Linked DNA regions of Cricetulus griseus. The protein of the gene in region 1 purifies or fractionates together with the protein of each later gene. This does not show direct contact. Links are inferred from orthologs where the notes say so. Each region holds a gene or a part of one and is shown on either strand. Other genes may lie near its edges.

Region 1 (4,433 bases):
TAAAATCACTGGTATGTCCATTTTCACTGCAATTGAGAAAAAGGAAAAAAAATGACAAGCAAACAAAACAACGGTCTCAGGTATTATATCTAAAATAAATTTCTTTGACAGTATGATCACATGACTCTTACAAGGTATCATTTGTAACAAAAATCTAACAATTTACAGGCTGCATTTTTTTGTGCAGAGTACTCCAAAGAAAGAAAAGTATGTACATTTGTTTTGATTAATACAACTATTTAGAGTTCTGCAATACTGGGAAGGTGGAATGTATCTGGCACAAAAATAACTCCTAAGAGTTAGAAACTAGAAAACAACACTTTTAAAAAAAGATTTTTACTTTTCTGGTAGAAATATAAAAACTGGCTTATGTGGGAAAAGTTAAAATAAAAAGTCCAATTGTACAGGTGGCTTGAACACTTAAAAGTTCTGTCCCTTAAACCAACAAACTCATCAACAGCAGTGTTTAAAATCTAAATATAAATAAATGGGCAGTGCTGCCCAAGTAGCAGCACAGAGCAAGCGACTCACAGTAATGCTGCAGGGCAATCGATCTCACTGCAGAGGAGGTAACCTTTCAGTGTCCTGCAGTGGGACACACGGTGTCACTTCATGCTGCCACCTGTAACTGAGTGTCCTTCTCACAACTGTACCATGAGCGGTACCAAAACTGACGGGTTTTAAAAAACAAGTGGGTAGGGGAGGCAGGACATGGCAGCCACTATGTGGTCTTCCTGAATCCCTTTAAGATGGGGTAGATGTTTTCAAATGCTTCATAAATTTCTGCTCTAACTTTAGCACCTACAAAGACACATTGGAATAGAAACGAGATGGTTTAAGTAACATTTCTTAAAATAGAAAGTAACATCATTACCTTAAAACAAAGCCACAAATACAGTTCTCTCCATACCCAGTTAAGACAAACAAATGGTATTAAAATAAATGGTGGAGGCCCTTTGTCATAATCCTAGCCTTCCTTTTTTCTTTTTTAAGAGACAGGGTTTCTCTGTATAGCCCTGGCTGTCCTGGAACTTGCTGTGTAGACCAGGCTAGCCTGCCTCTGCCTGCTGAGTACTAGGATTAAGGGCCATGCCCCGCTCTCCAGCTTTTGTTTTTAAAACATTATTTTCTTAGCGTTTAAAGACTTTTAACTCTAGACCAGCATTTCCTCACCAGTTGGTCGCAGGCCAGGATCCACAAGTCAGCAAGCAAGGCAATACCCCCCACCCTCCTAGTATTCGTGTTTCCTCCTTGCCTGCTGCCACAGTCAAACATAGTCTAGCCGCAGGCTACAACTGTAGCAGAACTCTAGTGTTTTCACTCTTCCCCCTTTCTCATGAAGGATGGGAAGCAAAATGTAAACAAAATCTTCCTTACAAGTGGCTAGGCAGTTGTCCCAACACAGAAATCCCATCCTAAATTCTTTCCAAGTTTGGTACTCTATCCCTTTAACTTACCTGTTAATACAACTTTTCCAGAAACAAAAATAAGGAGAACAATCCTGGGTTTGATCATTCTGTAGATTAATCCAGGAAATAATTCTGGCTCATAGCTAGAAAGAAAATGGGAAAACAGTTTAGGAATCACCAGTTTTTTTTTTGTGTGTAAACACAATGAGGCCTTGTGTCAGGAAGTACTGAGTGAACAAGCCAGGTGTCCACAAATAGGACACACAAGAAGGAAACACTTTCACCAAGCAAGAGCCAAATGGCATGGATATGGCTTTCTATGCTGTCCTCACAGAATCTAGATTTTCTATGATAAAAACAAGACTGTATACTCACATTCTCTGACCCTCATTAGGTTCATTTTGGGCAAGTCTAGGGATAGCAGCTTAATCTCACCATGCACTCTTAAGAGTTGATAGTGGCAGTCAACCTTGTAATCATACATCACCTTCCTGAATAGAAATACTCTAACAGGGTGACTTAACCAGAGTGACAAACCATGAGCTTGGAAATGAACCTACTCCCTGATCACATCATCTACCTGAACTGACATTAATGAAATTCTAACCTAGTGATTTCAGGTTTGTTTAATCTGATAAAAGGACCTGTGTGTCTTATGTGTAACCTGGAAAAAAACTCTTTTGGGACAGGTTTATATGAAAAGGAGCAACACTGACTATCTGAAACTCAAAAAGGAATTTCTATGTTAAAAACTGAACCTAATGTGCCAGGTATAAAAGTACCATGTGTAAAGGCCCTGAAGCAAGAGGATTAGGGTAAGTGTGAGGGGGCTGGTGAGCTGATGTGGCCGCAAATAGAAAACAAATAACCGAGGTAAGGGTGAGAAGAAAATGGAAAGGAATAATAAAGGACAGCACATCCCTGCTTGCTCATTTGTATACTTTGCTGGTGTGTTGACAAAAAAGATTCAAACTAGGAGAAAAATGGTAGAAGAAACTACAAATTTATTTATGTAAATGGATTTACTGACTAACAAAATGATAAGGCATACAGAAGTGATCTGAGTCGCTCCAGGGAAGGAGTTTGGGTGTCGGTCACTGAGTGAAAGAGGGCAGCAAAAAGTGCAGTAGCACAATTGCAGAGATACCTTATGTTTACATGGAGCACACTCAACTTGCAACTACATCATAAGCTTAGAAACAGAATGTCTTACATGTACTTCACCCTGAATGATGCCTGAGTAGATAGTAAATGGATTGTTGCTAACACTAATCCCAATATCTCTCAGACCTACCTGCTGAACTGCTGGTGGGTCAGCACAAGGCCTTCCAGCCTTATGGGGAACTTCACATCACAGCTCCCCACCATGTTTTGGATCTTGAAGTCTAAGAACTTAGCTGGAAAGCCCAACTTCTGCACAACTCTAGCGTATTTTCTTGCTGCTAGTCTGGATTGTTCTTCACTAAAGAAAAAAGAAAAAACAGTGAGTATGTACAGAAGCCTAATGGAGTAATTCAGAAGAATAACTTAAATGGAGTCTAAATTAGAAAACTAATTAAACTATCCCTGTGACCTTAACAGAAAGGATAATCTACCAAAACATCAGCCTTGGATTTGCCAGATTACCGACAAGCTCTAGGTTTAAAGGATGTGATGTAGCATGTGATTCAATTATGATCATTGCTTTTACTACATTCTGACCCACAAATATCTACTGAGATGGAAACCTCATTTTTATATATAAAAAAAAAAATACTAAAGCCGGATGGTGGAACACACAGATTTAATCCTACCACTTGGGAGACAGAGGCAGGTGTATCTTGAGGCCAGCCTGGTATACAGAGCAAGTTCCAGGGATACACAGAGAAACCCATTTTTGAAAAACAAAACAACAACAACAACAAAAAACTGAAAAGACTAGTAAAATTTACTACTGACAAATACATAAATTCTATCTTCCTTTACATCAGATCTCCATCCACTCTTAGGACAACATTATTGGATGGAACTGACTTTCCAACTTAGCTTTCACCACAAAAGTAGGATGCAAATACTAAAGTACAGGAAATCAGGGGTAACAAAAATGAGAAGTGGGCATTGATGCTATTCAAAGTGATTAGGATAAACCATTAAAGATAACACATTGAAAGTGTTAGTCCAGGGCTGGAGAGATGGCCCAGTAGTAAAGAGCTGTGGCTGCTCTTCCAGAGGACCTGGGTTCAATTCTCAGCACCCACATGGCAGCTCACACCTGTCTGTATTTCTAGTTTCAGGGGACCCAGCACCTTCACACAGACGTACATGTAGGCAAAACACAAATGTACAGGAAATAAGAATAATATATATATGTTTGGTTCCAAGCATTTGAAAAAAACATGCTAATCCAGCAGGGCGGTGGTGGTGCACTGCTTTAATTTCAGCACTAAGGAGACAGAAGCAAGCAGAATTTTGTGAGTTCTAAACCAGCCTGGTCTACAGAGTAAATTCCAGGACAGCCAGGGCTACAGAGAAAAACCCTGTCTCAAAACAGACAAACAAACAAAAGTGCTAGCCTGATAATAGAAATGATGATATATCCCTTTTCTTTGATAATACATCCACCAGAAACAAAGAATCCCTTAAGAGTACAGTACCTCTTGGCTCCTGTGCACACCATTTTCCCAGAACTGAAAATCAGCGCAGTTGTCCTTGGCTCTCTTATTCTCATGATGACAGCAGCAAACCGCTAAATGGTCAGAAAGAAACATTAGAGTTGCACTTATGGTGACTGATCAGAGTTTCTGTGAAGAAAACTCTGGGTTCTGAGTCAAACTATCTTGGCTACACCAGGTATTCCTATCAATGCATTAAAAGTTTCTTTTAGGCCGGGTGGTGGTGGCAAACGCTTTTAATCCCAGCACTCAGCAGGCAGAGGCAGGCGGATCTCTGGGAGTTCGAGGCCAGCCTCGTCTCCAGAGTGAGTGCCAGGATAGGCTCCAAAGCTACACAGAGAAACCCTGTCTGGGGACACACACACACACACAC
Region 2 (4,972 bases), on another chromosome or scaffold:
GGCTGTGTGGAGATCGGTTGATTTTGACGAGATCATCGAGGTGTCTGATGAGGTAAACTTCTCTACCCAAAATGAAAGGTTGTCAAAGCCCCTAAAGTTTAAGGTGTGGCGGGGGGAGTACTACCGGAGAATTTTAAGTAAAACAGTTTTTGTTATACATAAGAGATTCCCTTCGGTTGTGCGGAAGTGAAGGAGGCCTCGTTCCATTTTAGCACGCAGTTGGTGTGAAGGTGTTTCTTACCGTCACAGCTCTGGAACTAAATAGCGAAACACGATGAGATGTGATGTAATTTCGTAAGGTCACCCTGATAGGACTTGTTCCTACTTAAGGGGCTAAAGGAAAGATAGGATGATAGGTCGTGTCTGATCTAGGGGGTCAGGGCAACTATTTCAAAGGCGGAAGGTAGATAGAACAGTTGATGCAAGTAGGAACAGGATTCTTTGACACCTTTTTTTTTTGGGGGGGGGGGTCGAGACAGGGTTTCTCTGTGGCTTTGGAGGCTGTCCTGGAACTAGCTCTTGTAGTCCAGGCTTGTCTCGAACTCACAGTGATCCGCCCACCTCTGCCTCCCGAGTGCTGGGATTAAAGGCATGCGCCACCAACGCTCGGCTCTTTGACACCTTTTAAACTAGAGACTGTTAACTGATGTCTTTAATTCTGGAGGTCGGGAGAATAGGTGCCATGGCATGAACATCATGGCGCTCAAGCCCAGGGGCATTTTGTAGAGGAGGGCAGGTCATCAAATTTGTCTCATAGGAAGAGCCTTTACCCGCTATGGCCTCTTCTTTGCTGTTCCCTATGCCTAACGTATTCTGAAAAACATGGGACTGGGCAATCTGGGAGGCAAGAAAGGACCCAATTTGGACCTTAGTGGAGTGAACTGTTCGGAGTTTGAGAAGGGTAGAGGGAAGAAGGTGCCTATGTAGGCTTGACCAAAGCCCTACTTGTGCAGAGTACTGTCTATCTCAGTGATTCTCAACCTTCGTAAGGCTTCGACCCTTTAATACTGTTGCCCATGTTGTAGTGATTATTAAACTTACTAAATATTATTAAATTTTAATTATATATTATATAATTATTTGTATTTTTATATATTTACACGTTAAATATAATATATAAATATATTAAATGTTCAAATTATTACATTTAAATCATTAAATAAAAATATTAATTAAATTGAATCTCCATAAAATTATTTCATTGCTACTTCAGAACTGTATGAATCGTAATGTAAATATCTGGTATTTACAGGTTAAGAAACGCTGGTGGGATTGTGAGATTTAGAAAAGAGAGATTTCAGAATGCCTAATTAAATTTGAATGTCAGCTAAGCAGCAAATAATTTTGCAGTATCAGTATGGCCCGGGTAAATGTGGTAATACGCTTAGAAAAATGTATTCATTGTTAATGTGATATTCAGATGTAAGGTGTTGTTGAGTTTGTCTGTGCCGTGTTCACCTTAAGACTAGATGGAGGAAGGGCCTCTGCGGGAATTCCAGGAAACTGAAAGGACAGGTGGTCATTAAGGGGTATCAGAATGGTCTGAGCAGAGCTAGGGATGCGTTACTAGGACGACTTCTCTGTATCTCTCCATCACAGAGCCTGGAGCTGCCCCAGTCTGAGGTAGCCACGCCCACGCAGGTGGGGGCGAGCGTCTGGGAAGAAGCCCAGGCCTGCGAGCAGCAGTCTAGGCCCGCCTTCCATCCCCCACAGGGGTGGAGCCTGGGCGAGGAGGAATCAGCCTGCAGCTCTCTCAGCCTGGTTGAAGAGTCGCAGGAGAAAATGGAGTCTAGCAAGATGGCGCCTCCCAAGAACGCGCCTAGAGATGCCTTGGTAAGTGGGAGGGGAGGGAAGCCAGGCACACAGGAGGTGCCCTGTGTGGCCGACCCGACTGAGCGCCTGGCGGGGAGAAAAGGGGTTGCGTGTCATTTACAGCTGGGCGACGTGTCTGGGAAAGGGTAGTGGGGTTCACCGGTCCCTGGGGCGCCGTGCACGCTCCGGGGAGCCCCTCCAGAGGGGCGCGGGCTGCCTGGGGGCTTTTGTCTCGCTGGATCCGGACCGCCCCCGGTCCCCCAGGTCTGAAACCTCCTCTCTTCACCCAGTCTATGAGCCCTGACAGCGTCGTGGGTTCCGATGCTAGCTTCCCTCACTGTCACATCCGAAAATGACAGCCAGCTGGACCCACCCCTACCTCTGCCTGGAAACCTGGTCCAGGCCTTGTGTCTTTACTCCATCCTTGCTAAAATAAGTTTTCACCAAGAGCATATGACTGATTTTGTGTGTGCAGAAGGTACAAGGAGGAGCAGTTTGGGACTTTGTAGCAAACATAAAAATATACCACATTGTGCATCTGCTTTTTTTTGTTTTTATTTGAATCCACAGGTGATGGCACAGATCCTGAAGGATATGGGAATCACAGAGTATGAGCCAAGGGTTATAAATCAAATGTTGGAATTTGCTTTCCGTAAGTTTCTTTTTAATTGACTGTGAATTAGAAAGGATCATTTATTGTAGCACTTTAAACCAAATTCTGTTACCAATCTAGAGATGAGTAAAGCACTAAGGAGCTCAAGCTAAGGGACAGTAGTATTTATATATAGCATGTCTGTTTAAATAAAGTATCATGTGAATAGGACAATTATTTATTAAAATCAAGTCTTACATGTTCCAGAAACTAGTGGAACCTTTTAAAACAAGGAGCCATAAATACTAAGATTCTTGTCTTAATATATATTAATGTCTTCATGTAATAAAAAATTATTTTGCTCTTAAAGGATATGTGACCACGATTCTGGATGATGCAAAAATTTATTCAAGTCATGCTAAGAAACCTACTGTTGATGCAGACGATGTGAGATTGGCAATCCAGTGTCGGGCTGACCAGTCTTTTACCTCTCCTCCCCCAAGAGATGTAAGCAAACATTTATTTGCAGTTATTTTTACTTACACTTTAAAAATCATATTTCTAATGAGGATTTTTCTTTTAGTTTTTACTAGATATTGCAAGGCAGAAAAATCAAACTCCTTTGCCACTGATTAAGCCATATGCAGGACCTAGACTGCCACCTGATAGATACTGCTTAACAGCTCCAAACTATAGGCTGAAGTCCTTAATTAAAAAGGTAAGAATTTCTGGCTTGTTCCTGGAATCCCAGGCAGGAAGATCAGGAGATCAAGGTCATCCTTATGTCTTCAGGGCAATCCTGAGCTAAGCCAATCTCTTATCTCAAAAAAAGGAAGCTTCAGTTTATGGTTTATGTCTTTTAAAAGGTGGAATAGGCAAACTTATAAAAAGCAAACTTCCTGTAGATAGCATAGTAAAGGTTAAAATGATCCTTAGAATTTTTTTTTTAATTTTCAGAGCTAGAAAAAACTTTATTTCATCTAACCCAGTGGGAACTTTTCTCATCATACAACTGGACCTGAACTCATGGGCTCATGGAGCTAGGACTGATTCCCAGATCTAGTAGCTCAGTTTTTGTACTTTGCCACAGGTTTTTTTTTTTTTTTTTTTTTTTGTGTGTGTGTGTGTGTGTGTATGAGAGAGAAGAGAGAGAGAGGAGAGAGAGAGAGAGAGAGAGAGAGAGAGAGAGAGAGAGAGAGAGAGAGAGAGAGAGAGAGAGAGAGAGAGAGAGAGAGAGAGAGGTGCAATGATGAGGTAAATTGCCATCGGCAAGTAGACCTTTGTCAGACATATGAATGACCTTAGGCTCTTTCAGCACTGAGAAAGGAACTCTCCATATCTTTGAAACTCTGCTGTGAGACAGTTTTCATTTAGGCACAGTTAAGACACTAAGTTGTATTTGTCTCCATTCATAAGACTCTACCTTAAATACTCTGCCGAATTAGATAGGGTCTTAACTGTGTATGTATGTATGCAAAAACTCCAAATATTGGATTTAAATCATAGAAGAGTTCAGTCCTCAGTAGCATGACCAAAAGAAAAAGAAAACACAGTTAAAACAGACATTTTTGCATTGGATCATGCACTATTAACTCACATCAAGTTATACTTTCACTCTTCATCAAGTTTAGGTGTCAAATCTTAACATTAAAACTAACTTGTGTTTAAATCCCCTAGGGACCTAACCAAGGAAGACTAGTTCCTAGATTAAGTGTTGGTGCTGTCAGTAGCAGACCTACTACTCCTACTGTAGGTAAGTTAAAGAGGGAACTGGCATTTCTGGACAGTGAAAACATCGTCTCAGCATTTGCTTTTGAACCATAACCCAAGTCAAAATGAGAGTCAGAAACTCTGGTATGTTGCCAATGATAATTTTACTCAATGAAAAAAAAAACCCACAAAGACTGATCCCAAATGGCATTGGCCCAACTCTTACTGTTATAAACTGTGATTCTAGAAACACTTAGACCTTTTATGCTTCGAGTCACCAAGCACACCCATGCCAACTTAATCGAAACTCCATAAATTGAGTACAGGTTCAAAGAAGTTTAAAATCTATAGAAAGCTCAAGGATCTTAAAAACAGGTTTTAATACTTATCTTTTAAAAAACAGTACAAGGACCATCCTGGGTGACATAGAAAGACTCCATTTCAAAACAGAAAATCATAGTAATTATCTTATACTGGTCAGTGAGAACCCTCAAGGTGTGTCCCATAATGAATTTAATAGCTCTCCATCATACTGTGTACATTTCTGACATACAATGGTCAAAGCCTGTCTTATATTCTTTTCCAGCTTTTGGAATCAACCACTTTTCCAAAGACCCTTAGTTCTTTTTAGTGAATGGTGTTTAGGAACCATTATTTGTAACAATTAAAAAAAAACAAGCTTTCTGATTTTTTTCATGTTTTCTGATTTTTCATGTTTTGCAGGGAAAAAATCCTCTTCTTTTTTCACTTGTACTAATTTCATGGCTCTTGCTGCTTTTAATTTGAGTCTTTCCAGTGTCATTACACTTCTAGTATAAGAATGATTAATTTTTTTAAATGCTGGGTCTTAATCTGTAA

Evidence for each region. The genes of interacting proteins can lie anywhere in the genome.
Region 2: the proteins of Tbp (region 1) and Taf9b purify together in Homo sapiens (affinity purification with mass spectrometry; 3 studies listed by BioGRID and IntAct, with this or other methods). This does not show direct contact. The link is inferred for Cricetulus griseus from reciprocal best matches to the Homo sapiens genes TBP and TAF9B.

Annotation. Positions count from the first base shown.
Region 1 is NC_048595.1:294,451,872-294,456,304, reverse strand, and holds part of Tbp (TATA-box-binding protein), read right to left. Parts: intron 4,135-4,433; coding exon 4,043-4,134; intron 2,872-4,042; coding exon 2,704-2,871; intron 1,553-2,703; coding exon 1,458-1,552; intron 802-1,457; coding exon of another isoform or gene 722-801; exon of another isoform or gene 77-721; intron 1-76. UniProt on the Homo sapiens protein: The TFIID basal transcription factor complex plays a major role in the initiation of RNA polymerase II (Pol II)-dependent transcription.
Region 2 is NC_048604.1:64,531,720-64,536,691, forward strand, and holds the start of Taf9b (transcription initiation factor TFIID subunit 9B), read left to right. Parts: upstream 1-1,688; 5' UTR 1,689-1,782; coding exon 1,783-1,833; intron 1,834-2,382; coding exon 2,383-2,464; intron 2,465-2,774; coding exon 2,775-2,911; intron 2,912-2,987; coding exon 2,988-3,122; intron 3,123-4,081; coding exon 4,082-4,157; intron 4,158-4,972. UniProt on the Homo sapiens protein: Essential for cell viability. TAF9 and TAF9B are involved in transcriptional activation as well as repression of distinct but overlapping sets of genes. May have a role in gene regulation associated with apoptosis.